Tamandua tetradactyla: one gene and its partners. The protein of the gene in region 2 purifies or fractionates together with the protein of the main gene of each other region. This does not show direct contact. Links are inferred from orthologs where the notes say so. Each region holds a gene or a part of one and is shown on either strand. Other genes may lie near its edges. The genes, in order: CHAF1A, SETDB1, SUV39H1 and ATF7IP.

Region 1 (7,013 bases), on a different chromosome or scaffold from region 2:
TGTCCTGACTTGTGGTGGTGGTTGACTACTGGAATCTGGAAAGCAGGGGCCAGGGATGCTGCTAAGCACATATTAATACATGGGGTGGGCCTCCACGAGGAAGAATTAACTGGTTTGAAATGTCAATAGCTCGAGGTGTAGAAAGCGTGGTGTAGAAGCAGGGGCCTCTGAATTTGCTCTGAGTACACAAGGGTATATTTGCGTGACAAAATGAATATCCCAACTTTCTCTTGAGACCAACTGGTTTTCTCCCTTCCAGTCCCTTCTCTGAGGATCACGACAGAGAGCCTTCACTCAACAGGAATTAAAAAACATGATTTAGGAGATGATGAGAGATATAAATGAGGAACGGCTATTCAAACCATTCCAAAGTTACCTTGTATTAACTTCTTGACTGGAAAAGCTGGTCTGTCTTTGCAATCCATGGCTGCAAATAAAGGGTCAAAGGACAATTTATTAAGTGTTGGGACTAATGAAATCATCAAACATACATGCCAAACCTATTTATGTACAAAGTGGTTCTCCTGTGGGGGCATATGGACACTAGAAACAGTGCTGGCTGCCATCACTGGGGCCGGGGTGGGGGTGGGGCAGTGTGCTGCCGCACCAAGCAGGTAGAGGCTAGGGATGCTGCTATACACCCTACAACACACAAGATGGCCCCCACCACAAAGAGTGATCTGGCCCCGAAAGTTAACGCCAAGGCTGAGAAACCCTGCCCTGGATACAATCTCATCACTCATCGTTCTGAAACTTTTGTATTGATGTCTCCCCCAACAGAAGCTGCTCTATGGCAGTGAAGAGACTTATCCCAGACTGAATGAATCTACAGCACTGAGCTCAGAGACCGGCTTATACTGAGAAATGAACAAATACAATCAGAAGGACAGTGAAAAGTGGAATGGGTAACAGCAAAGGTGGAAGAAAACATTTTATTAGCCATTTCACCATCATATGACGGTGAAACACCCTCCTCCCACACATACCCTGCCCATCTGTAAAATTCAAATAAGGGTCACTTTCCTCCCCCACCTTCTTTTTTAAAAGAGTTTATGAAGTTAATACAATTTAACAATTTAAAGCATACTGAACCTGTCAGGCAGGAGCTGAAGTGCTGTCACAATATGATAGAGAATGTTTTCTGCACCAAAAAAAATCTCAAGGAAAGCATCTAATAATATCAGAGGAGATGCAAAAACAACTATAAATAGGACTAATCTTAGGGTAAATAGCTTAAAATCAGTTTAGAAGTTCGCACCTGCTAGGAGACCTGGCTAGGAAAAATCCAGTTTAGATTTTTCAGTAAAACTACACATTTTACATAAGAAACTCAAAAGTGAGTATTTTTTAAAGGCAGAATGGGCCTATCTAAAAATTCTAGCTTTCCCAAATGAAAGTGTCTCCTCTACTCCCCACCCCCACAAAGTTTAGAGAAGAAAAGGTATCCAAAAGATTCATATTTCCTTTCTACCAATTTCCAGGAAGAAAGACAATACTATCAAGTTTACAATGACCAAGATCATGGACTTCTCTCTCAAATAAAGGATAATCTTTAACCACTTAAATTATATCAATTTGCATGGCACTGAGTCATTAGCTTTAATGCAAATGGAACAGAAGTGACATGGCCCAGAAGCAACCTCGGTTCCATAGAAAAAGGGACCCCACCATCGGGAAATCCAGGCTGCTCAATAAACATGGTATATAAAGTTGCCAGCTGCTCTTTATTCTGAGATTACATCCCTCCCTTTTATAATAGCATGGGCAGAGCAGGTGTTGCTTTTTATTTTTCCTTTAAGTGTCCTACTTGGTCAAATCAAAATATCACAGCTCCGTGACAGTCAGTCCTCAACTTATTTATATTAATTTCAAATCTCTGCAACATGCTGAAGTCTGGAAGCAACTACAGCAGTGGTTCTTGGGAAAGTGGGCATGCAATTCTGCCCTGAACCCCACCCCCCTCAAGGAGACATTTGGCAGTGTCTGAAGACATATTTAGTTATTACAACTTGGGGGTGCTACTGGCATCCAGTGGCTGGAGGCCAGAGTTTCTGTGAAACATTGTATACTGCACAGTATGGCTCTGCACACCGCCACCCCCGCCGAGGACGATCTGGTCCCAAATATCAACAGTGCTGTGGTGGGTAACCTGAGATTAGACTAGTTGATGTCCCTTCCAGGCTTTAATTCATTCAACCAACACATATTTATCTGGCACTTACTACGTGCCAGTCAGTCCCAAGTGCGTGATATAATAGGGAATCAAGCTGAGGAGAGAGCAGTCTTCTTTTCTATGGTTCGCCCCAATTATTGGAGGACCTGCTAAGTACCAGAAAGACCCGCTTGGATGATACAGGGAGAAAGACTTGCATATCAGTCAAGCTCATGAACCGGGGAGTTCCAGCCCCCTGACATTCCCCCCATCAGGCCTCTTCCCTGGGCCTGCCCTGACCCACAGGATCAGCTGTTCCGGTTCCTGCAGCCCGTGTGACCTCGGGCCTCAGTTTCCCCGCCCAGCCATCCAGCAGCTGCAAGGTCCAACTCGTTCAGGGGCCACAAGCTCACTAGGTACCCGGCAGAGCCTGCACTTCCGCCTCCCTGGGCTTCAGTTTCCAGCCCCCCTTGGACCCTACAGACCCGTCGCCCCGACGGGCCCTGTAAGGACCTAGTGACGCGAAACCGCCGGAAGAAAATGGTCGCGGCCTCAACAATAACGTCAAGAAAGGCGCCCTCGGGGTCACAAGGCCGTTCGTCGGGATGATACCGGCCCCCGCGAGATGAGTGCCGGGCGCAGACCAGCAGGCCCGGGGCCCGGAGGCCAGTCCGCAACCAACCGCCTCACAGGCCGCGCACCGCGCCCCCCCTTCCCCTTGGCTCGGGCCAGAACCGACCTGGGGCCGTTCCCCTGGCGCCCGGCGCCCCGCACTCCAGCTCCTCCAGCATCACCCCGGCGGCGGATCGAGCTCCCCTCAGGCGGCGGAGGCGGCGGAGGCGGCGGAGGCGGCGGAGGCGCGGGCTCCCCTCAGGCGGCCGCTACTGCTCGCCCTCCCGCCCGCGCCGCTGCTGCCCGGGCCGCCGCGCTCGTATTTGGCGGGAACCGCGGCGACCCCTGCAGCCCGCACGCGGATTGGGCAAAATCGCGTCACGTGAAGGCCCGCCTCTGGAAGAGGGGAACGCTAGGAGTACCCTCGCGAGAGCCGTTGCCTCCATTCCTCCCATTGCTCCCCTATTAATATTCCCGTGACTGGGGGGGTGGGGGTGGGCGGGACCTCCCCTCGGCGTCCTGTCATTGGTTGGGTGGAAGTGCCCTGCGATTGGAGAGAGCAGGTTTCAAGCTTAGAGGCAGGCGCTGTGATTGGTTGGACGCGTGGGCCAGGGAGCGAAAGCCAAGCTCTTACGTCATGACAGCCCTTTTACGTAAGACAGTGGGTGACAACCTGAAAACGCTTGGCGATTTAGATGAAAAGATTTAAACTGCAGTATTTAGTTTACCCCAATTAGACGTCAACTAAATATAGCAACAGCAGTTGATAGATAAATTACTTTTAATAAGAGCAATGAAATAAAAGCTTGGCAGCGCTTCAGAAGCATTTGCTTTGCAGTAAATACATTTGAGTGAATGAATGAAATGGATGTTTCTGGTAAATCCTCAGCTTTTTTGCACATGCAGTTTGCTCTACCTAAACCACTCTTTTCGCAGCTCTTTCGCCTGGCTAATTGCTACTCAGTCTTCAGATCTTAAGCTCTGAAGATCTTAGAGAAGCTTTCCTCTCTGACACCCAATGAGATTAGGTCACTGTTCCTTTACTTGAAGCAATTACAGCTTGTAAATATCTGTTTGTCAGCATATTATTTGATTGATGAATTTATTTGTTTTTATCATTAGCTCCATAAGGGCAGAATTCGTATTGTTTTTATCACTGTAACCCCAGGACCCATCGTTGCTTGATGGATAGTAGATGCTCAATAAATATTAGAATGAATAAATGTCACTTGATTGAACTGTGCAGATCATGGAGAGTAAAAGCTTCACACAAAACAGAGACCCTCAATGTCAGCCTGCAAGTCTTAGAAACAAGCTTTCCCCAACACCAATTTAATCTCCCAAACAGAGCAGGAACGGAGGTGAGGAAAGGAAGTTGAAATTTAGCCCAAGTTTGGAACTCTATCGAGGTTGATTTGATAGCTAAAGTATTAGAGTTGGTTGAAAAAAGAGGCTGGAGGAACAGGGAATTGGAGTATATCAGTTCAGACAAGTCACTTCACTCAAGCCTTGGTTTCCCCATCAAACAATGAGGATGTTTTTCCTCCCTCTGGTTTCTCCATCACAATAATGAGAACGTCTTCCCTTCCTTCTCAGGCATTCTCACTTTGCAATTCTGCAGTGAGTTAGACATTTGAGTGTACACATCAGAATCACATGGGGAGCTTCTTCATAGCAGCCCACCTACTACAGCAGGATCCTGGAAAGTAAAGCTGAGACATGGGCATTTGGAAAAAAAAAAAATCCCTTGGGGATTTCTGAAGCAATCCTCTGGTTATCTTCTGTTAAGACACTTGGAAACTTCCAGCAATCTTTTGCCTTCAGAAAACCACCCAAGAACATCAGAGACTTCAGCAAAGAAGTCCCAAGCATGTTAGCTCTAATCACTTTCTTTTTTATCTTTCAGTCTTGTTTACTCATTCTGATTAATTAATAAATTTATATCAATAAGAATTAATTTTAAAATTGATAAAAATAATATCAAACATTTATCAGCTTGGGAAGCTTTCCTGGAGGACGTGACATTTCAAGCAGCATCCTCTTTCCACATATAGGATGGGGGAGAGAATGTGCAAAAAAGAGAACAACTTCAGCAAAGGCACACAGGCAACAGGTATCATGGATTATGAGGTCAGAACAGTTGTGTGGTTCTGATTATGCAGACTTTATAGGCTATATTAGGAAGTTTGGAGTGTTTCTTGTAAGCAGTGGGTTCCGTTTAAACAGGGGACCACTGTGATCTGAATTATGTCATAGGGGCTTCTTTCCGGCTGCCTTGTAAAGGATGAATTGGAGGGGTGAAGCTGATGCTGGGGAAGCTAACGGAATGGCCTGGATCAGGCAGGACAAGGAGGATAGAGGATAATAGAAAGAATGGAAGAAGACAAGGGAGGCTGAGGGGAGAGAAACTGGGTATAGCAGAGATCAGGAGACATATATCTGAGATTGTAATCCCCAGCCTACTGGGTCTCCATCTACTCTTTTGCCGTCCCAGCCGCTCCGGAGAGGTTTCATTAGGCGCCTTACCTCAGAACTCAGGGCAACCTCCGAGAATCCAGGGGTCGCTGCAGCCACCTCGACCCCTCCAGGCTGGGCGACAGTCCAACTCGCTGGCGGAGGCGTACTCTCCCGCGGCCGGCGAAGTGCGCGTGCGCCCCATGGCCGGCAGGGGGCGCGCGTACGCAGGCGGGGGCCGAGGGGGACGCGCGCACGCGCCCGTCCGTCACCGGAAGTGTGCGGTTGCCATGTAATATCCTGGCAGCGCAGGCGCGCGAGGGGCAGAGGCGGTGCCGCGGCGGACGCGGAGCTGGCGTGAGGGCGGCTGAGGCGGCGCCTACGGGGGCCGCTACGGCGCGCGGGAGGTCGGCGGCGCCGGGGAACCTGTGACTTCTGCGGTTCCTTCGTTTTGTGCGGCCCGGCCGGGAGGCCGGACGGCGGGAGGCAGCATGTCGGTGGCGGGGCTGAAGAAACAGTTCTACAAGGCGAGCCAGGTGAGCGGAGGCCGAGGCAAGGGGTTTACCGTCGGTCACGGGTTACCTGGAGGTCGGGGGGTCCGGTCCTGGCTCGAGAGGAGTGGGGCCGGGCCCAGGGGAGGGGGGCCGCTCTAGCACATGTCCTTACACACACACCCCACCCCCAGAGTGGAGAGACCTCAAGAGTCAAGAGGGACGGGGACCCGGAGGTGGCCCGGACTCTGCCCACCCTCTGGGCCCCGGTCTTCTCTGAAAGGATGGGCCGAGCCCCTGGTAGGTACACGGGTGCGCCCTGAGGTTGTCCAGAAGCCTAGAACCCTCTTCTCCTTTCCTCCCCTCTAAAGGTGAAGGGGGGCAGAAAGGGGAAGAATGAGTCCCGAGGCAGTCGACGCCGGAACCTACACTTGCCAGGTAGCCAAGAGGCAAGGAAGATCGGCGTCTAGAGCTGATTCTTTAAAATAACTTTTTGGAAGACAGGGTACCCCATTCGAAGAGTGGGGTGAAAAGTCAGTTCCCCATACCCATCCCTTAGACATCCATTCCCTCCATCCGGCCAGATACTGTCACCCACTTATATCCCTTTCCAAAGATATGTGTGCATTTTTCCTTTTAACACGCACACACATAGAGGTAGTGTATTCTACTACATACTCCTCTGTACTTTGGGTTTTTCGGTCAACGTGTCTTGGAATCACACCAGAGTGGAGGTTTTTTCCCCTCAGCTTTGGCACCCATCATTAACATTTGGGGCTGGCTTGATCATTCTCTGGGATGTGCACTGGAGGGGCTTGAGCAGCCTTCTTGGCCTCCCCCCACTAGATGCAAGCAGCACCCCGTCCCCAGTCGTGACAATCAAAAATGTCTCCAGACATCACCAAGTGTCTTCTGGGGAAGGGAACAGAATTGTCCCTTCCTCCCTTTCCCCAGAGCACTGCACTGGAGCCCACTCCCAGCTCCTCCTGGATCCTTTTCTTGGGTCCATGGTATTCTCTTCCATGAAGTATGCCATCATTTATTTAACCAGTTGTCTCTAATGGAGATTTAGATTACTTCCCATAATTTGCTACTAGAAACAGTAGCAGTGAATGATATCTTTGCTCACAGATAGGGGAAATTTCCGGAAGTGGAATGCTGAGTCCAAAAATATATGCATTTTACATGTGACCGTTAACGGGACTTTCGGGAAGTCCCAGCACCTTTATTCACAAATCTGGTGAGAGCTATGGATTCACTCTGTAGAATACTGGGCAGAGGCAAAATTTTGCTTATAACAACCG
Region 2 (7,153 bases):
CTACAGTTCTGCAGCTATGAAAGTCAGCATTACCCCATACTGCAACTGCTAAAAAAAAAAAAAAAGCTGAAAAAGAAGTCAGCCTTCAATTAAAGACATGAACAAAGCTGATCTGGTTAGGACTAAGGTCAATCAGATGAAAGGTTAAAGGATGATATTGACTGTATTTTAAAACTTCAATTTCTGTGTGAGACCAAAGGAAGAGATATTTATTTGGTGCAAAATTTATATTTTCTATGGCACACTATCTAATTTAATTTGTATGGGCAGTTTATTCGAACACAATAATTACATGGAACCTTGAAAAGGGAGTGAGACTTTGTTGGTTTGTACAGGTTAGTGTGATAATCTGATACATCCAGAGTAACCTGGTACAGAAGATTTAAAAATCCCATTGAGGAACTAGGGAAAAATGTGGAAATATTAAAACTTCTCCACTTGGGGAAACCCTGCTTCCTCACAAGCATTTGTGTGCTGGTTTGAAACTGTTATGTACCCCAGAAAAGCCATGTTCTCTTAATCCTAATCCAATCTTGGGGATGCAGACCCATTGTTTGGATGGGACATTTTGATTATATTATTTCCATGGAGATGTGACCCCGGCCATTCAAGGTGGGTGTTAGTTAATTTACTGGAGTCCTTAAGGAGCCAACACAGACAGCAGACATAGACATTTGGAGATGAAAACAGAAATACTCTGGGTGCTGAGCAAGAACTCACAGAAATAGCCAGAACCTGGAGAAAGCCAAGAGAAGCTGAGAGATGAAATCCAGAGTTTGCCTCAGAGAAGTTTTAATGTACAAACAAATCAGCCTGTAGGCTTATTAAAATGCAAATTTGGATTTGGCACATCTTGAGCAGGACTGGAGATTTCGAATTTTGAACATATTTAGTATGTTGAGTATGCAAGGCCTTAGAGCATGAACCTTTACAATGAGACTTTCCTGACCATCTCTGCTCTCAAATTCAATTTTCAGAGTATGCACATTGTAGTTAGTCCATATAAGTGATGCATTATACTATCTGTCTTTTCATTACTGGCTTATTTCACTCAACATTCTGTTCTCATGGTTCATTCACCTAGTTGCACAACTCATGCTCTAAGGCCTTGCATGTTGAGTAAGCAAGGCCTTAGAGCACACTTCCTGCATCTCTCTGCTGATTTCTACAGGACTGACCACTTTAGCTTTCTGGGCAATGAAGAAATCAAACTGGAATATGATGCTCCAAGCAGCTCCTGTTTTTCCTCACCAGACCCACCTCCCCCACAAAGACACTGGAAAGCTGCAAGAATCTAACGGAAATATACTTAACCAGGGCATAGCAAAGATTTCCCTTCATTCAGCATACATTAAGGGGCCCCCTGTGTAGGTGCTAGGAGAAACAAAGGTCATTAAGACAGACTCTTGAGTTGATCACAAGCCAGAGGAAACAAACATACGCAAGTCAACTCACTAGCGGAATGAACTAAGGCAATGGAAACACAGAGGCAGGAATTAATCCTGCAGGGGTGAAGCATGGAAATATGTGCAGATATAAAATTTATAAAAGTGTCTCACATAACCGTGGGAACGTAGAGTCCAAGGTCTGTATGGCTGGCTGCAAGCTGGCAGCTCCGATGAAGTTCCTCATGAACTCTTAGGAGAGGCTAGCTGGACAACCACAGGAATGGATGACTCCAAAATCCACAGGGCAGGCTGTGCAGCTGACCACTCCGATGGAGGGTCTGGACAAACTCCACAAGAGAGGCTCGTGGGCTGAAGCAGGAAGATAGCTGTCTCTTCTGAATCCTCCTTAAAAGGCTTCCAGTGATTAGATTAAGCATCACTCATTGCAGAAGACACGCCCCTTGGCTGATTACAAATGCAATCAGCTGTGGGTGCAGCCAACATGATCATGATTTAATTGTATGAAATGTCCTCATAGCAACAGACAGGCCAGCACTTGCCCAACCAGAGAAACAGGTACCACCACCTAGCCAAGCTGACACATGAACCTGACCATGATAGTGGTCTAGGACAGTTACTCCTTTTTGTTTAGTTTTTTTTTATTTAAGGAAACAAATAATATACTTAAAACCAACAAAAATGAATATCTAAGTTAGCTTAACCATAGGCATAAATAAAGTGTCCATATAATTATTGTAAAGCCTGTGTTTGCACAAGTTTCATAAATCAGTTTAAAATTAAGGCAACAAGAAAAAAAATCTACATATTCAGATAGCAAAGTTCTTAAACTCTAAGTATTAAAAACTAAGATATCATTTGATCAGCTGTCAAAACTGTGAATGTTCTCAAAATATCTAGTAGAAAGTTCTTACAAATATCTGCATTGCTATAGTAATGATCTATATTACTAAATATTTTCCTCATTTCAGGAAAATATAAATATACAAATATTTTTACCATTGACATATGGGAATCTTAACCACCTAAAATGGATATCCTAGTTAGCTTATCTACAGGCATATTTAAAAAAAACCTAAGGAATCATCATAAAGCCTGTTTGTACAATATGTTTCATAAACCAATTTAAAATTAAAGCAAGGAAGGAAGAAAATCTATAAATACAGATATCAGAGTTACTTGAACTGTAAACATTAGACATTATCTTAAATACCATTTGATTAGGCATTCTGTATGCACTCTCAAAATATCAAGTAAAAAGTTATCACAAATATCACCTTTGCTATAGTAGTGATCTATGTTCCTAAATATTTTCAAATTTTTATTTCAGGTGTTTATTTTATCTAGTATTACTATAATTGCCTATAGTTTTTTTTAAACCATTTTTAGTTGTAAAATATAACATACAGAAAAGGAAGAAAAAAAACAATTTTCAAAGCACACTTCATAACAAGCAGCTACAGAACAGGTCCCACAGTTTGTCACGGACTACCATGCCCTCATCTCAAATTTTTCCTTCTACTGCTCCAAAACACTGGTGGCTTTAACTTGATCACAGTCGTAAAAATGGAATCATACAGTATCTGTCCTTTTGTGTCGGACTTATTTCACTCAGCATTATGTCTTCAACGTTCCTCCACATTGTCATATGCTTTGGGACATCATTTCATCTTACTGCTGCATAATATTCCATCACATGTATATACCACATTTTGTTTATCCATTCGTCTGTTGACAGGCACCTGGATTGGTTCCATCTTCTGAAAATTGTGAATAGTGCTGATATGAACATCAGCATGCTCATGTTTTAAAACAGAACCTTTAAAAGGAAGTGAGTGACATGATCAGAACCACATTTTAGAGCTACATGTAGAATTAATCTACAAGACATGCCGTTTAGGAAGCTCTGGAAGTTTTCCTGACGAGAAAAAAAGAGCTAAAAGAAAAATAAAAATAATGTAGAGGAGGAGAAAGCTATAGTAAACATTTCCAAACTAGGACAAACAAGTATTAATGTTTCAAGAGAAGATCTTTGCTAATCAGAGTGTGAACTGTTACCTTTTTGCAAAGTAATTTCTACTAAAATGAAAAATGTACCTATCTTTTGCTCGAGATTCCATTTTGGGGAATCTTTTCAACAAAAAAGTACTACTTCAAAATAATGTTAATGTTTTGCATTGTTGCATTGTTTGTAGTGGCTGAAAACTGCAAACTAAATTTCTAAATATGGTTTAACTATACTACGAACTACTATATAGCTGTCAAAAGGGTATTTTACCTTTATTAACGTCAAGGGATATACCCATGTTAAGTGAAAACAAAACAATTTCCATACATGAATGTGTATGTAAGCGCCTCAAAGGAGTAGGGGAAGTGACGGCGGAAAGGGGAGGAGATTACATTTTTCTAACTACATCTTGTTACCTTTCGACTTGCTAAATTCCTACGACTTAAGTAATAATACAAATTCAAATAAAAGTGAGAAAAGAACTCTAAATCTAAGTGTTTGCCGAGTGAGTCTTTACACGATAAATGTAGCTCTGTCGCTACCAGCAGAGAAGCACCGCAGGATTCTTCAAAGTACCGGACCCGCGAGCAAACGCTTTTCACGTGTGCGGTAGCCGACTCGGCTTCACGCATGCGTGGTTGCCTTAGTTGGCCTAGACTCTCTGGGGACTCCGCGCGGCTTTGGGTTTGACCCCGTCAGGCTACCGTCGCCGTGACCGGAACAGTGTTTAAGGTTTACTTCCGGGCGTGTCTGCAGCTTCCCCTTCCCTCTTTCGCGTTTCCATCCCTCCCCCTGCTCCCTTTTCCCTTCGGTTTCGTTGTTTCCTTTTCCCGTGGAGGCCGATCCCTAAGTCGTAAGTCTAGGATCTGGTTGGTAAAGCAGAGCTTTTGGAGCGGGATGCGGGGAGGTTTGGGGTCTACTGTTAATTGAGGTATTCGGAGCCTAAAGGCCCGGGTGGGATTTTTGTTTGCGGGAGGAGGTCGGGTGGGGGTGAAAAGGAAGTTTCCCCACGAAGCGAGCGTGGGCGGGACTCAGCCTGGATTGCGGGTGGGTGGAACGTACCCCTAAAATGGGTAGCACGGGGGAGGGGCGAGTGTGAGGAAAGGAAAGATGGAGGACAGAGAACTGGCATAGAATTCAGCATCAATCTTTCTTTAAACCCAGAATTCGGTATCAGTCCTGCTTTAAACTTTTGATCGAAAAAGAATTTCATACTAACGAGGGTTATTTTGACTGTGAATTTTATTTGGTAGCCATATTTTATTCCCAGACTAATTTATTTCTCTTTCCTTCGAAGAAACCTCTTTTTGCTACACGCTTGCCTGTGCTTACGCATTGTAGCCTTTTAAGGGGCATTACAAACAACAATCAAATGTAGATGTACATTTTCTCATGGAAGCAAAGTAGGGGAATCAAGTGTAAAGTAAGCTACAGATAATCTTTCCCCGATTGAGGGTATTTGTTCAAATTTGGCATAATATGTAGACATAGTTCTGTTTCATTAGTCAAATAAAGAACATATTAGGTCAAAAAGATTGACCTGTAGATTGATTCTCTTCAGTTTCCTAAAACATTTCAGTAGCTCCGTATTACAAAATGAATTAAATAAAACTTATTCAGTGGGACTCTCACGTCATTCTGCAATACGGCCCCCAAGTTAGCTTTTCAGCTTCGTATCTCACCACCACCTATGGTTTACCCCCAAACATCCGAAGTTGTTGAAACGCTTTCATGGATTTTCCCCACGTGGAATGCCTCCAACTTAATTTTAAAGGCTCATTTCAAAAGCTCTCTCGCTGGCTTAAATGTTACATGTTACATGTTAGATGCTGCATAAAAAAAAAAAAAGAAAGGACAATGTAAATATAAGCAGTTCCTGACATTTGGTAATATACTGATATGAGATGCAGGTACAGAACTTGACAGCTAAAATAAACATTTATATGTTGTGAGTTTTAAGGTAAGATAACTAGATAGCCTATGGGATCATGTTCTCCATGCCCTCCCAAAATTTTAAATCAATCCTCTTAGTCTGTAGTGTGAGCTGAGAACTCTACAAAATCTCAGCAACAGGTTCTGGAGAATTGGAAGAGAGAATATAGAATCAAATTTAACTGTTTTTTTTTTGTTTTTTTTTTTTTGATAACAGCACAGTAGGAATAAGTCTATTAGTAGGAATAAGTTCCCTATTAGGGAACTGAAATTCTTTATTAATTGTGGTGATAATGACCCTAAAGGTAATTTTAGTTTTCTGTTCCATGCAGAGGACAACAGGATGTCCTCCCTCCCTGGGTGCATTGGTTTGAATGCAGCAACAGCTGCAGTGGAGTCTGAAGAGATTGCAGAGCTGCAACAGGCAGTAGTGGAGGAGCTGGGCATTTCTATGGAGGAACTTCGGCAGTTCATTGATGAAGAATTGGAAAAGATGGACTGTGTACAGCAACGCAAGAAGCAGCTAGCAGAGTTGGAGACATGGGTAATACAGAAGGAATCTGAAGTGGCCCATGTTGATCAGCTCTTTGATGATGCGTCCAGGTGAGGACTGCATGAAAACGAGAAGGAACTCTCTCCGTTGGCGTTTTTTAAAGTATAATTGTTCATGACACAGTGCCAAACACATTATGCTTTACTACTTTTTTCCCTAGTAAGATCACCTAAGGAGTGAGGATTGTCATGAGTTTCTGACTTATGTGGTTATGGAGCATTAATGAGTTCCTAAAACTTCTATCAGCTTCTAAACCCCAAAAAGATTAGTTTCTGGTGCCCTCTTTGTCACTGAGAACATATTTTCAAATAATCACAAAGTAAATTATGAAGTAAGGTTGAAAAGACTTTGAACTTATTTTCCAGATTTTCAAGGAACTAGTTTGGAAACCATACCACCATTTAAAATGTTTTTCTATGGTAAGCATTCCAAATTCTAAACAGACACTTTGGAATATGGTCTGTAAGTTAAGGGCAGTCTATATTTAAATATATATAAATCCTAACGACTCTTACACCTACCTTCTCTGCTTTTCTACATATATTCCAATATTAGGGCAGTGACTAATTGTGAGTCTTTGGTGAAGGACTTCTATTCCAAGCTGGGACTGCAGTATCGGGAAAGTAGCTCTGAGGATGAAGCTTCCCGGCCTACAGAAATAATTGAGATTCCTGATGAAGATGATGATGTCCTCAGTATTGATTCAGGTAAGAGATAAGGCTTTGGATAGGGAAGTTTCAAAGATTGAAGTTGAAACTCTGAAAGAGGAGCAGATGAAAACAGAAGAGGAGAAACTGTTATCACTAACTTCATATTCCAAACTACCTGACTTGCCTGCTAGAGGAAAAGAATAGAATATTGTTAGCATAATAAATACAATGTCTAATTGCATTGTCCTCCTTTCCCTATCCTGGATAATCTCTATTCTGAATTCCCTTGCTTTTCTTTGTAGGTGGCATTAGTGCCTATGTGTGTATAATTTACATACCATAAAATCCACTCATTTTAAGTGTATGGTTTGAATTTTAGTAAATTTACACAATTTTGCAACTTTCCCCACAATCCAGTTTTAGAATACTTGGATTACCCCTAAAAGTTCCCTTGTGCCTGTTTCCCATCAATCCCCATTTTCACCCCCAGGTACCACTGATCTGCCTTCTGTTGCTCTAGTTTTTCCTTTTCTAGAAGTTTTTTAAAAACAGAATCATTCAGTCTGTTGTCTTCTGTGTCTGGCTTCTGTCATGTAACATAATG
Region 3 (6,863 bases), on a different chromosome or scaffold from region 2:
GTAACTGGGAGTCAAAAAGCCAGGATTTGAACCCAAGCATGCTGGCTCCAGTCTGTTCTATTCTACTGTTACCTCCTTTGGCAACAATAACAGTTTCCTTTTCACAGTGTTACCCGAGGGATTAAATGAGTTTCTGAGAGGAAGTGCCTGGCACACTGAAAGTGCTCAGTAACTATTAGCTATCTTCATCTCCATTCCTGAGTTCTGCATATAAGAAGTATTCTCAATCTTTGCAATTGGTTTGTCTTCCGAGGGAAATGGGAAGAGAGGCTTATTTGGGTGAATTCATTCTGGCCCTATCCCCTACCCCCTAAGAAAATCACTTAAGTTTCCCCATCTATAAAATGGGGACAATAAGAGGGCCTAGTCACCCTGTTTTTTAAGATCAGGAAAGAAAATTCCCTTTGGAAACAGATGCAGGCATTATTAGGCAAGAGGGCAGAAAGCCACCTTGAGACACCCTCCACCCCAGGGCTATGGTCACCCGCAGACTCACGCGGATCTTCTTGTAATCACACAGGTACTCGACTTCAAAGTCATAGAGGTTCCTCTTAGAGATGCCAAGGGCAGGGCAGGAGAGCTTAGCCAGGCGGCATAGGTCCTGTAACTGATTCCAAGAGGACTTGCAACACACACTGCAGCCTGGAACAAGGGGACAGGAAAGAACTATTACTGGGTAGCCTGGCCAGACTAGGGGTCAAAAGGGACTACCAAATCCTGCCTGGGACTTCTCAGGTACTGCCTCATAGTCAGTCATATTCAATCCACAGGCCTTCCCCAATGCCTTCCACAACCAAAATGTACTACTTCCTTAAACCCCAAGGGTCACTGCCCAAGGCTACCCCTGGAGCAGCAGTCCTCAAAGTGGGGTTTGCTGCATGAATTGTCCTAACAGTAAACATTCCCAGAGCTTCAAATTTCCTCTGTACTATTTCTTAAAACTGCCTGCAAACCTGCCTTGGGTTCAGATCAGATCACCCTTCTACCTCCTTTACAAAAGAGAGAACAACCCCCTCCACCCCCTTATCAGTACAGGGAAGGTGGGATTAAAACCTCTAAGGTACCAAACAAAGCATAACTGGAAAGACGGGTCCACAACCTTTATCTGAAACTCCTGAGGCCCAATATGTTTTGGAATTCAAATTTTGAGGGGATTTTACAATTGTAGTTCTAAGTATATACCATATATCACCTAACACCCCTTGATTATACCATAATCAAACACATTAATATTTCTACAGCAAAATTATAAATTTTCACATTAAATAAGAGAAAAAGAGGTGTAGAATAGCAGCACTGAATAGTCCCACCTTATAGTCTGGTTTTGCCACTGAGTGGTGCCAAACATAAGAAAAATATTTCAGTTTTCAGGACTTTTTCAGATTTCAGAATTACGAACAAGAGATTGTGGAATGGTATTCAATTACAGGAAGCTTCCCTGAAGCTTTAAGTATGGATGCCTTAAACACATGCTGCTTTTTTTTTTCACACTGCTTTTGACTTTCTCTGTCTCATCCACACTTTTGTGAAGGGTAAAGCTCACCCAAAGGGGAATGTCTGAAATCACGAACAGGCAAAGCAGTACAGGTTAGTGACAACCATTTTTAAAAGCATACCTGGAATGATTCCTGAGACTACCAAAAATTTTCATGCGACATAGATTTTTAAAAAGCAAAAGATTTCTATCTGACTTAGGACTAGGTCTTAAATAATGTGCTTAGAAGCCATTTTAACAAATCGTTTCACAAAACACTTGTTGCAAGTATAGTCCATCCTTAGCCTAGTTCATCTTTTTAATGCTTAATATTTTTTACTTCCCATTACAAAAATCAAACTTATTTAAACTTGGGATTAAACACTCAAGATATCAACCTAAAAATGTACAAGAGCTTTTCGAAGTTAGAAAATTATTTCGTGTGCACTTCACCCCCTCCACTTAGGCAGGCCTAGACACTTCAATTTCATATCTCCATCCCAGATTCTGGGCCTATGCCCACATTTTCCTCTTCCTTCCAAACCCCCAAACCTACATTTGAAACCTTACCTAAAGTGGTCCCAACTAAGATGTCCAGGTGCTGGCTCCAGCATACACCACAGAGAGACCACAGCTGGACTCTCCTACCCGCCTAGAGTCCCCCTCACACATCCTCTCCGCAGCTTTCCTCACACAGAGGAGCTATCCCTCCACCCTAACAAAATACCAAGAACGTCACCCCTCTTTCCCTGCACAGTGTGGAGTCCAACTCTATTAGAGAAGCCCCCTTCTCTTCATTCAGCGGGTGTTCTCTCTCCTCCAAAGCCTTCCCCCTCGCATCGAGAGGAGACACCCTACCCTGTTGAGTCCCCTGTCCCCCAACTCTAGGAAGATCCCCTTTCCTCCCCCTTCCTTTCCAGCGTCTCGCGTGGACACCAAGCGGGTAACGGTCACCGGCGGCCGATTTTCCCGCGCGCGGGCGCGGCCTCCCCAAACAATCTCCGGCGCGTAGGCGCGCCGGGTCAGATCTCGATGTGGGGCGTGCGCGCACAGCCCTACCCCGTCCCGCGACCCCACTGAGCCCCGCGCCCGCGGCTTCCGAGGCACGCGCCCCCTTTACTCAGCCCCGCCCAGCCCCGCGCACCAGGCCCGCGCTCCCCGAGCCCCATCCTTTCCGCGCTAGGCTCCAGGCTCCCGACTCCGCGGTCTCGGACTCCGGGGCCCCGGCCCGCGTCGCCACCCTTCCAGTTCACCCCAGCCCGGCCAGCGGGCCCGCTCCGCTGCCGCCACCGCTTCACCTTTTAAATTTTCCGCCATCTTTCCCCACGGCTAACGACATTCGGGCCTAGCCGGCCTCGCGAGAAGAGCGCTCGCGCGGGCGTGGCCGACAACGCGCAGCCTATTGGCCCGGGCGCGCCACGAGCGGCGCGGCTCCGACCAACCGGCGAGTCGTGACCGGACCCCTCCCCGCCACTCTGCCGGGTCCCGAAGGCGGTCTCGCCGCCCGCTGTTTCCCAGAGTGCGTCTGCACCGAAGCGGCGGCGGCGGCGACTGAGGTTGCCGGAGGCACTCCCCGTATGCCACTACGTCTGTCTTGCAGTTGACCAATTATGTCGTCAGCCTGCCACAAAGGGGGATTTGCCGTCCTATCAAACTCGTCAGTCAGTCGTCACATTTAGGCCCAAGCAGGCGGTGAGTCCACCAGAGTGGACTCTAACCACGTACAGATACCAAGGCAGTCACTTCATTCAAATCAGAGAATGTCACGACAGCTGTCTAGTCAAAATCCCCACCCCATTCAGCGTCCATCTGTGTCTTCACACCAGCTGTGATTCTCTTAAGGCTGACAGACAGCACTTATTACCAGCTACCCTGCTAGCCAACCAGCCTGTCACACCCTCAGACTGCCCCTTCTGTCAGTCACTCAATCAGCTGGTCACTTCTATCCTTGCCCTGGGACCAGCTGTGATTCCACCTCACGGAATCATATTGTACACACCCCAGTAAGCCACAGCGTCCAAATATGCCCCCAGGCAGGTTGTGATTAGGTCAGGACAGGCTGTCATTGTCAGCATCTAATATAACCTTGTCAAGGCAGCCATACTGTCAGTTGGTCACTCTGTAATCGCTTCAGGTTGCTCTTCATTCACACCCTGAGCAGTTTATTCAGGTACAATACCCAGCTAGGCCCACAGAGCAAATTGTCAGAGCAAGTAAAGGTACAGTAAAGTCACAATGCCACTTTCAATAACTCAGTAGTTTCTCAAGCACACCATTGATCAGTCAGCTTCCTTTGTTCCACTGGGCTCCTTCAGGAAAGCTGTGATTCCATCAGGGCAGTCTGTAGCCATGTACAGCCATTGACTCAGGCAGGTACACTGATCTTTCAGTTGATCAACTACCCTGTGATTCCTTCAGTCTACCCCTCATCATATTATCAGGGAATCATCCTCAGCATCCAATTGACTACATTAATTACTACTGTCTGTCAGTTGGGCAGTCAGAGCACTCAGCCAGGCCCTCAAGCATGGTGGCCAGTCAGGGTGGCCAGTCATTCACCATTCACAGTTGCCTATCAGGCAGCCACAAATCTGTTGATCAGCCAGCCTGAAATCCCCTTAAGGTAGCTCTCCTTTACACATTCTCAAACAGTGTAACATCCATCCCTTAGGCCTGGCATGATTCCTGGTAATAGTCTGTCATTCACAACATCCTGCCACCCAGTTAGGCAGCAACACCATAAATCATCAGCAAGTCAATAATTCCTTTAGGAGGCTGCCTGTCTTCCACATTGTGAGACTACCTGCCAGTCCCAGTGGGGGTTGAAATTCAGTCAGATGTTCAGTACCTCCCAACATCAGGAAACCACATCATCAGTTCCTCAAATTGCTCCTCTCCTTGTCGGTTCATGAATAATACTGTCAACCAGTTTTACAGTTAACCAAACGGTTATTCTGTTTGCTTGCCAGTCCAGCTATGAGCTAGTTAGAGCAATGGCTGGTCAGTCAGAAGTTCCATCAGCCCATACTTGGCATGAATGGAGCACTCAAAAGAGTAAATTCCACTATACACCTCCCTTCCCTTCCTTACTCCTTCTAGAACAAACTCAGGTTCTGGTGCCTCCTTATTCAGGCAAGACCCTCTCATATCCAGAAATCCTGGAGACTTGTCCCAGGAGAGTAGTTTAAAGAATGACCTTTTCCTTCCTCATCTGGAGGGCAACTGGGGCCCTGTTAGTGGTGGGGAGCATCTCTTGACCTTTCCCAAACAGTATAACGTACTTGATAAAAGCATGGATTCTAAAGCCACTGCCTGCTTTCACATCCCAACTCTACAACGTACCAAAATGTGTGACGTTAGGCAAACTAACCCTTCTGGCCTTCAGTTTCCTCACTTGTGAAACCTCAGGTGAGTGCTCTTGGGGTGCGCATCTCCCTTTTATGTAGAAAATGAATCTTATTGGTCTATCACCTTTTCAAGGCACCTCGAAAGTAAGAGGTCATGTAAAATCACCAAGATGGTGGAGTGAGATGCTCACTGCTCCACCACCACCTCCCCCAAAGAAGTGTTAAACAACGAAAAAAACAGGCAGACCCATCTTTATCTCAGCTCTGGAAGACAGTAAAAGGGTTGCGTCCCAACTGGCAAGTCCCAAATTAAAAAAATAAGCAACTTAAAACAGTAGGAAGCACTAGAATGGCCATTATCAAAACAACAACAAAACGACAAGTGCTGGTGAGGATGTGGAGAAAGCGGCACATTTATCCACTGTGGGTTGGAATGTAACATGGTACAGCCACTCTGGAAGGCAGTTTGGTAGTTCCTCAGGAAGCTAACCATAGAATTGCCATATGATCCAGCAATCCCATTACTAGGTATATATTCAGAGAAACTGAAGCAAGGACACAAACAGACATTTGCATACCAATGTTTATAGCAGCATTATTTAGAAGTGCCAAAAGATGGAAACAGCCCAAATGTCCATCAACAGACAAGTGGCTAAACAAACTGTGTTACATACATACAATGAAATATTACACAGCTGTAAGACAAAATAAAGTCATGAAGCCTATTACAATGTGGATGGACCTTGAGGACATTATGCTGAGTGAAATTAGCTAGAAACTAAAGGACAAATTTTGTGTGGTCTCACTTATCAGTAAACTAACATTAGTGAGTGAACTTGGAGAATGGAAGATAAGAACACAGGTTATCAGGAGATAGAAATAGGGGAGAGATTGGGAAATTGGTGCTGAAGGAATTCAGATTGTGCAACAAGACTGATTGCAAAAACTCAGATATGGATAGCACAACACGACCTGACTGTAGGATAATAATGTAAGTACACTGAATGAAGCTGAATGTGAGTATGGTTGAGGGAGAAGGGCTGGGACAAGTATGAAATCAGAAGGTAGGATAGAGAATGAAGACTGAGATGGGATAATTTAGAAATGCCTAGAGTGGACAATGATGGTGATTAAATGTACAAATTTCAAAATGTTTTTGCAGGAGGAAGAACAAAGGAATGTCAGTATTGCAAGGTGTTGAAAATAAATGGTATATGGGAAAAAGTACAATCAATGTAAGCTAGGGTCTGTGGTCAACAGAAACATTGTAACGTGCTTCCACTGAATGTAACAAAGGCATTATACCGAAACTAAATATCAATAGGTGGGGGGATTGTGAAAGGGGTATGGATTCTTTGTGGAAGAAAAGAAAATAGATTATGGTGGTGAAGGCATGTCTATTCACTTAGGCTGGATTGTATAATGTGTGAATAAAACTATTTAAAAAATGGTCAGACAGTTTAATTGAACACCATAAATACATGGAACCTTGAATAGGACATGAGATTTTGTCGATTTGTCCAGAGTGATGCCCCGATAAATCACAGGAAAAAAAAAGGGGGCGGGGATGAACTACTGATACACACTGCAGCATGAATGACTCTCAATATCACTAGATAAAAGAAAAGTACATTTTCCTGTGATTCCATTTAAATAAAACTGTAATAAATGCAAAACAATCTACAGTGACAGAAAGCAGTGAACGGCTGGGGTTGGGGTTTGAGGAGGAGTAAAAGGAAAAGATTACAAAGGGAGAGAGGAAGGTTTCGGGTGATGAATTTTTTTTTTCCACAAAAATAGGAACAAATATTTTATTAAAGATTTTCACTCTTTCTGTACTACCTGAACCTTTATAAAAACTATAGTTACTTACATAAAATATGAAAAAATAAGGTAAAGTTATGAATGTTTAACAAAAGAAATCTCTGGGCTTTGCAACTCCATAGTTTATTCTATGACCAAGTAGTTCTGTATAAGATGAGAGCTACATTAATAAAACATCTACACATTGCTAATTCATAAAAATTTAATGAGAAAAGATA
Region 4 (7,915 bases), on a different chromosome or scaffold from region 2:
GAAAAAAAATTTAGAATTCTAGGAAAAAATAAGCCATATAGATGAACATTTAGTTGATCTCACAAAAGGTAATATTTTCTAGGCAGAGAAGCTCTGGAAGAAATCACAAAGGAAAAAACGCAGTATGTGTGATTACATAAAAACATAAAACTTTTGAATATGTAAAACCATAAAAAACTTAAAAGGTATTTGATCGGCAAAAAAAAATGCTAAAACAAATATGAAAAGCAAAGAACTAATATTCATAAATAGCTCTTATAAACAAGTAAGAAAACATTAACACCCACCATAGAAAAAGTAAAAAAAAAGAGCTAATTCACAAAATGAGAAAATGCATGGTTAAGGCATTAAAAAATTCAACTTTACTAGTTATCAAAGGAAAGCTGCTGAGCTATTTTTCATCCACCAAATTTGATGGTGGTATGAGAAATACTTTTCAAAAGACATTTAAATTTGCAACAATCTGGAAAATTATCTTACAAGCCTTTGAAATGGTAATTTCAAAGTAATAGTTTGAGCTATATAAGGATGTTCACTGTAGCATTACTTATAATACAGAAATGGACAAGACAAAATTTAACAAAAAAAAAAACACAAGGCCTAGCAAGTCACAGCACGTTCTTACTTGATATAGCAATATTACACAGCAACTCAAAATCATGTGTTTGAGGAATGTTTCATAATTTGGAAATATTTTCACAGTACAACATTATGTAGCCAATAAAAACATTTTAGAAGAACAATGACATGAAGAAATACTCACAATATAATATTAAGTTGAAAAAGCAGTAATAAAATTGTGATCCCAATGAAAAAATAATAGATCAATAAAAATTGACAGATTTATCAAGCCTGGAAAAGCAATTTCGCAAAAATCACTAAAACATTTAGAGTGCTTATTTCTCAATGTATTTCAGAAACATTCTATAATAAATAAAAAAAGGTCACATATTCAAATCATGATTTAAAGAAAAAAGTAAAATTTAATGGTTTATGGCTATGTTTAAAATTCACAAAACTAGAAAGATTTTAAACAACCCCAGTCACTTAGTATTCAGTAACTTGGTCTAATATTTATACAGGCTCCACATGTGTCTAAATTTTGTGGCATCATAACCACCAAACTAAAATTTCAGAATATGGTTACTAACAGGGTACTAAGGAACAGTGCATGGTTACACAGTTCATTAACCTTACTTTTTTTGTATTATATCTTTTTTTAAAAACATGACAGCAAAATTGTCCTCCCAATAGATTTTACATTGTACATTATGCTCTTCAGTGTTTTCAAGTGTCTCTTATGACTTTCAATATTAATTAAAAAACAATCATATGTATACTCAAGCTAAAGCCAAATTTGAAATATATAAACCAAAATATTTCATTTTTCTGTACATGCAAAGGGAACTATGCCCTAAGACCAAAGTTCTTTTAACCTAAATATGTATCTACATATCCATACACACACAGATGTTTTTTCAAATGACATATTTGCAACATTAAACTATCAGAAATAAGTGTTTATCCTGGATTTGTTCGTGTGTGTGTGTGTGTGTGTGTGTCTGTGCGCGCGTTCTTGGGTGGGGGGAAGGGGAGTGTTGGGTAACCACCCCAGAAGAATAAAGGGACAAGATTACACAACTGCCCTCGAAAGACATTTCTGCATAGAAGACTTCAGAGTTGAAGGAATTAAATTTGAAACATACTAAAGATTTTGATGAGAAAAAAAAATGTTTCCTATCACTCTATCTCTGGTGACATCATTTAAATATCCACCATTCAAAACTATCCTTTTCAATTAAATCTAGTTAATAGTTACCAAGGAGGTTGATTTAAGGCAATAAAAACGTTCCCAAACTGACCATGATTATAAAACACTGCCACTTCTTCACTGACAGAATGATTTAAATTTAGGGCTATATAATGCTAAACAAATTGTTATATATACAAACCACTGACAAAGTTTATGAAAATTGTTTTACAAGTTTTTAGCCTCATAAGAAATAATTTGCATAATGGGAAATCATATCAAATAACTTCACTCAGAGGAGTCATATACGACTTAAAATGAGACTATTTGAACTAAATAAATAATACATGAGCAATTATAACCACCTTTTTCAAGAAACTAAAATCAAGCACACTATTAAAAAAATTAAAACAATTGTATCTTCTACACATTAACATGGGAGTTATTAACAATCAACTAAGTTTTACTGGTGGTTACTTGTTTTCCTCACAAAGACTTCAGTGTAGTTGGGACTTTGTGGAACTCTTTATCAGAACAATTGACCAAGTATTATACTTCACTGTGAAGTATAATTTTCATACTGACAAATAAAATAAGAAAGATTTTTAAAAGAATAACAATAATAAGCTAACCAAAATTAAGTATTTCAGAAATAAACAAGTGATCGAAGACTGAAAAAATGTGAAATTCACATTTAAGTAGGTTCAGAGACACATAAACTTATAAAAATTAAAACTTAGTTAAGATTAAAAAAAAAAACGAGGTTTCTTTTAAAACTACATTGTATGTTCTTTCACTGCTTCCCAGGTTCCCCCTATTAGTTTCAAAACACAAATTGTTTCTATTCTGCAAACATTCCACACAACCATGATAGAACTGGTAAAAATAGGGTTAAATATTTGCTAATATGCAATTCAAATACATGCACTTCCCAGGAAAACACTATTAGATGCAAGAAACTGATCGTTAACTTCCTAATAAAACATGAATTCAGCAACACCCAAAAAAAATGAAATTATAATCGAGAACCACAAGTCACACAGTTTTACAGAAAATCACCTCCACAGCTTCTCAGAGAATCGGAGAAATTGAGGAGAGCTTGAAGTCGGTAAAGAAATAAGATATAAAATAAAGGTCTTCCATGAAAAATATGGAAATTTGGAGGCAACAGAATGAAACCCCTGAAAAATATGGAAAAATAAATCTAGAACCCAAATGGCGCCCAATAAGAACATTAGATCTTGAAAATGAATATTGCGCTTGCGCAGCCACCGCCCCGCCAAGCTGCACAACTGCAGCTAGAGCCCTACCCCCGCAAGATCACGTGCTCCCATGCAGCGCCCGTCCGCAACTCCGCAACCGCGCAGGCGCAAACACAACTCCAGCAGCCGCCATAATGCGGTCTTTACTCTTCAGAAATACAATAGAAATTCAAGAAAATGTGGTCATAAGAGCCCCTGGGATTCACATATACCTTTTGGGGCGGGAGTTGAGGGAGGGGGAACCAAATTCCTTCTGACAGAGCCGTCCCGCGCCGCCGTCCCGAACGTTGCCGCCTCAGTCTCGCGCGCCTCAGCCGCCGGGCCGCCGCTGCTGCCGCCGCCTCCGCAGATTCAAAAACAAACCCGCTTCTCTCTTGCACGCGCCGGGGCCGTTATGCAAATTAATGTAGGCGGGTCTCCGTGCGCGTGTGTTGACCACGCCCATTAGGCTATCAACCAATAGGCTTACGGACTGGCCGTTCCCCATGCAAATATCCTGGGTTTTTATTTGAATGAGGAAATTTGGCCCCGCCTCCTACCGTGGAAACCAGAAGGAAGTATGAGGTGGTGGCGCTGCGACTTTTAGTTGCAGCGTGAGGTGTATTTCTGAGTGGACCTTTGTACAATCAGTGAGTAAAGCACTTTGTGAGCGCCCTCTATGAGGCATAGGAAAGAAAAAAGGAAGTGGATATGTGAGAGTTGAAGAACTAAGAAAACATTTTCAAAAAAGGAAGCTGAATATATTTAGTTCTTTTCTGTTTTTAATTCACAAAACATACTTTGAACTGTATTAGTAATGAGGAAATGGAGACAAGATATCTTTTCTTTCAGTTTTCTGTGACACAGCGAGCATTTCCGATCATATCCTTCCACCAAAATTTGTGTCCATCGCATTCAATTTTACCTTGGTAATGAACATTCACTTGAAGACCACAAGGTGTAGAGAGGGCACTACCCTACTAATTGGGAGATCTGGGCTCACATCATGTTTCTACTTCTTACTTACCTGTTGGCTGGAATAAGTGTTTTACTCAGTTTTCTCATCTGTAAAGTGGAAATATTGCCTGTGGTTCAAGTTGGTTGAGAGGGTCAACTGATGAGATAAGTAGTATAAATGTGTTTTGCAAAGGAGGAGGAGCCTTATCAGTTCCTAAGATTTGGTGGTGGTTTTTTTTTTAAGGAATTTCTCCCTTAATCTATCTATTCACTGTTTATTTAGCAATCACCCCACTCTTCTCCACCCCACTCTTCTCCAGAAATATGTTAGATGCTGGAATTAAACAGTGAGTATGACACTGTTCCTTTTCTCAAGAATTTTATACTCTAGTGGAAGAGATGGAAAACTAAAAAGAAAAATGTTCTAAGTAATACAAGATTAGCACAGGGTGTTTAATATTTTTATAACTTGAGACTTTCAACTGGTTTGAAACACAGAATAGCTTTTAAAAGGATTACCTAATCCAGACTTCAGGAATCATAACAGCCTTCCTTCTTCCTCCTTATGTGAGAGAATCTCACATCAGAGGTGATTTAATAAATTTCTTTATCAAAACCTGTACCTTATCCTGAAGCCAATAAGGAATCTCTTAAAAGAGTTTGTCAGGAAATGACATGATTAGATTTGCATTCATTAATTACTAAACTTTGTAAATATTCAGCACAGAACATAGTATTTAAGAGTGCTCAAGTGATAAATAGGTATTCAATTATAATAAAATTTTGGCATAATTTATTTAGTACATAGATGCTCAAATTATAAAATATATGCTCAGTAAATTAAAATATTAGTATAAATATTAAAAGTTCCATTCTATAGGGCAGGCCATGATGGCTCAGCAGGCAGAGTTCTGGCCTGCCATGCCAGAGACCCAGGTTCAATTCTCAGTGACTGCCCATGCAAAAAAAAAAAAAAGAGTTCCATTCTATAACAATAGAGATGGGATTGGAATAATCAAACCCATTAGGTTTCTCTTTATATTTCTTTAATAAGCAAATAAACGGAATCTCTGAATTGTGCTAATGGAAAAGAGTAAATAGTTTAGCATTAATTCACTGATCAGTTGTCTTAGATAACGTCACATTCTATGTTTGTCTCCCAATACCTAGTTTTATTTTATTTGAATCTTGCCAGATATCCCTAATCACACATTTTTACAAACAGTCTCTTTGGCCACTTTGCCTGTTTATTTTATCTAACTAATCTAACTGATTCATTCAACACGCATACTATTTATACTGCATTCAGATACTGTTACACACACTGGAGATGCCCAAAGGAAATAACACTGCCTCTGCCATTGGTCTATAAGTGTAAGAATCATATATAGAGATAAATATGAGAACTTTACTACTAGGAAGATATATACCAAGTATAAAAGAAATATAAAAGAAGAGCACCCAAATCTTCCTTATTATGTGGAAAAACTTCACAGAGATGTAACTTGATCTGACTAATCATGCAGAATTTAAAGTCTGACTGTCAAACTAGCTACAAAAGAAAGAGAATTCAGGTTAGATAAAACAGAAAACACAAAGAATAAATAGGGGTTGGATTCAACTTCTAGGAGAAATAGTATTCAAAATGTTTATTAGTCCCTATGGCACTAGGCACTTATCAATCAGAATGAAAGCAGGCATGAAGACCCCTTATTTTATCAAATATTAATCCTTTAATTGCTGAATTATGTGGAAATAAAGGAGTCATGAGCTAGGAACTGAGGGGCATTCAGAGTTAGGACAATGTTTTAGTTTCTTAGGCTGCTCCAGCAAATACCATGAAATGGTTTGGCTTACATAAAAGAAATTTATTCTCTTACAGTTTTGATGCTAAGAAAATGTCCAAATAAAGGCAGCATCAGGGTGATGCATTTGTCCCAAAGACCTGCTGCTGCCGATTCTTGGCTCCTCTGCCACATGGTAAGGTACAAAGCATTGTCAATTCATCTCTCTCCTCTCTTCTGGGTTTTGTTGATTTCTTTTCTTGCTTCCATGGCTTTCTCCCTCTGTCAGAGTTTCATTCCACTTATAAAGGACTCCAGTAACAGGATTAAGACCCACCCTGATTGAGGTAGGTCACACCTCAGCTGAAGTCACGTCAACAAAAGATCCTACTTACAATGCATTCACACCCACAGGGATAGATTAATTTTGGGGGGGGTACATACAGCTGCAAACTAACTCTGGCACCTATTTACTAATCAGACCAAAGTATTTCCACATTTTATCCATGTATAGCCTTATTGGTTCATACTAACATTCTTCTTAAATAATATTGCTATAGTAAAGCAGATCAGATAATCTCACAAGAGAAAAGAAAAAAACAGTAAAAGAAAACCAAAAATAAAATAAATGAACTTCAATTGCAGCAATTGAAGAAGGAAAACAAAAAAGAATAGCCAAAGGAGAAAACTGAAATTTCTAAATACTTATAAAACATAGCATAAAGTAGTGATTAAGAAAATATGCTCTGAAACTAACTATATGAATTCAAATCCTGTATTTGCATCTTACTTGTTGTTTATATATCTCTATGCAATGCATCCCTATGTATGTAAGAATAAAATTAAATTTAGTTTTCACACAAAATGGCATGGAATGGGGGAAAACAAAATTTACTAAACAAAAGGCTGAAAAACCAGCCCAGACCAGTTCCACAGTTGGGAAGGGGGAAGGAGCCTCTTATGTATGCTTAATGATTGGCACCATTTCCTTATATGGGAAAAAAATGTGAGTTAGACCTCTCAGGTAGGTTGTAACCTTTGGAGTACCCAGACAATGAGAAAACAGAGGAGGGTGATTCCCGTGTTAGGCTTAGGTAATAAATGTTTCTGCCTCCTGTTGTTTGGCACACCAGCCACCACATTGCGGTTGTGTACCCCTTCTGGCAAGATCTTTAATAAATTATTTTCTTCTCCACAATCAGATGAACATTTATTCTCTTTCTGGTACAGTTTTCTTTCCAACATGTATGAAATGGAAATAATAAAAAATAGCCTTACCTGATAAGGTTTTTATGAAGGTTACATTGCAGTAAAGCATTTCAAACAATGCTGGATATATAATAAGAGCTGAATATGTGTTAGCTTACAGTATTTATAGTAGTGGTATTTATAGGAGTACTAGTAATACAGAGGAAACTCAACTTGAGTAGTTTATATCTACACTCCCCACACTCCCATTAGGAAAAAGATGATTCAACCACAACCTAATAATTGTATTACTGGCCTCCAATTTGCAGAAAAGTTTATTGAGGAAGTGAGTAGGCAAACCTGGGAAAATTCAAGAAACAACTCTTGAAAACAGGAAGTCTGGTAGTCAGAATTCTAAGATGGATTCCATGATACCTTCTCCCTGGAGTTAATATCCTATATAATCATCTTCCCATGAGTGTAGAGAGAAATTGTAACACACTCCTTGCAAATAGAATATGGCAAAATATTTGCAGATGTAATTAAGATCCCACATCAATTGATTTTGAGTTAATCAAAAGAGAGATTATCCTATATGAACCTTACTTAATCTGGTGAGCGCTGTTTATAAAAAAGGGACTGGACCCTCCCTGAGGAAAGAAATTCTCCATGCTAACTTGATGAGCAAAGCAGCCATGTTGCGGAAGCCCACATAACAAGTAACTACAGGAGGACTTCAGAAGGTGCATGTAGTCACTCAGACCAAAGGGTGACCTCCAGCCAACAGCCTGCAAAAAGGCCATGTCTCTCAGTCATAGAGCCATGAGGAAATTCTGCCAAGAAACTAAATGAGCTTAAAAGTAGATTCTTCCATAAATACTTGAAAGGAAAGTGCATTCTGGTTGACCCCTTGATTGCAGTCTTGTGAGAAACTCAGCAAGGGATACATATTCCTGACCATCTGAAATTGTGAGTTAATGTATGTTGTGTCAAGC

What was found.
Region 1: the proteins of SETDB1 (region 2) and CHAF1A purify together in Homo sapiens (affinity purification with western blotting; 3 studies listed by BioGRID and IntAct, with this or other methods). This does not show direct contact. The link is inferred for Tamandua tetradactyla from reciprocal best matches to the Homo sapiens genes SETDB1 and CHAF1A.
Region 3: the proteins of SETDB1 (region 2) and SUV39H1 purify together in Homo sapiens (affinity purification with mass spectrometry; 3 studies listed by BioGRID and IntAct, counting the BioPlex papers as one, with this or other methods). This does not show direct contact. The link is inferred for Tamandua tetradactyla from reciprocal best matches to the Homo sapiens genes SETDB1 and SUV39H1.
Region 4: the proteins of SETDB1 (region 2) and ATF7IP purify together in Homo sapiens (affinity purification with mass spectrometry; 6 studies listed by BioGRID and IntAct, counting the BioPlex papers as one, with this or other methods). This does not show direct contact. The link is inferred for Tamandua tetradactyla from reciprocal best matches to the Homo sapiens genes SETDB1 and ATF7IP.

What each region holds. Positions count from the first base shown.
Region 1 is NC_135337.1:77,704,509-77,711,521, forward strand, and holds the start of CHAF1A (chromatin assembly factor 1 subunit A), read right to left. Parts: upstream 3,014-7,013; 5' UTR 2,944-3,013; coding exon 2,892-2,943; intron 2,843-2,891; exon of another isoform or gene 1,093-2,842; intron 918-1,092; exon of another isoform or gene 781-917; intron 428-780; coding exon 377-427; intron 1-376. Other genes in the region: SH3GL1 (endophilin-A2), read left to right, coding at 5,710-5,754. UniProt on the Homo sapiens protein: Acts as a component of the histone chaperone complex chromatin assembly factor 1 (CAF-1), which assembles histone octamers onto DNA during replication and repair.
Region 2 is NC_135330.1:4,640,173-4,647,325, reverse strand, and holds the start of SETDB1 (histone-lysine N-methyltransferase SETDB1), read left to right. Parts: upstream 1-4,135; 5' UTR 4,136-4,267; intron 4,268-4,273; exon of another isoform or gene 4,274-4,345; intron 4,346-5,678; 5' UTR 5,679-5,689; coding exon 5,690-5,949; intron 5,950-6,454; coding exon 6,455-6,606; intron 6,607-7,153. UniProt on the Homo sapiens protein: Histone methyltransferase that specifically trimethylates 'Lys-9' of histone H3. H3 'Lys-9' trimethylation represents a specific tag for epigenetic transcriptional repression by recruiting HP1 (CBX1, CBX3 and/or CBX5) proteins to methylated histones.
Region 3 is NC_135353.1:121,569,993-121,576,855, forward strand, and holds the start of SUV39H1 (histone-lysine N-methyltransferase SUV39H1), read right to left. Parts: upstream 3,010-6,863; 5' UTR 2,792-3,009; coding exon 2,773-2,791; intron 643-2,772; coding exon 497-642; intron 1-496. UniProt on the Homo sapiens protein: Histone methyltransferase that specifically trimethylates 'Lys-9' of histone H3 using monomethylated H3 'Lys-9' as substrate. Also weakly methylates histone H1 (in vitro).
Region 4 is NC_135333.1:76,972,640-76,980,554, reverse strand, and holds the start of ATF7IP (activating transcription factor 7-interacting protein 1), read right to left. Parts: upstream 3,005-7,915; 5' UTR 2,986-3,004; coding exon 2,810-2,985; intron 1-2,809. UniProt on the Homo sapiens protein: Recruiter that couples transcriptional factors to general transcription apparatus and thereby modulates transcription regulation and chromatin formation. Can both act as an activator or a repressor depending on the context.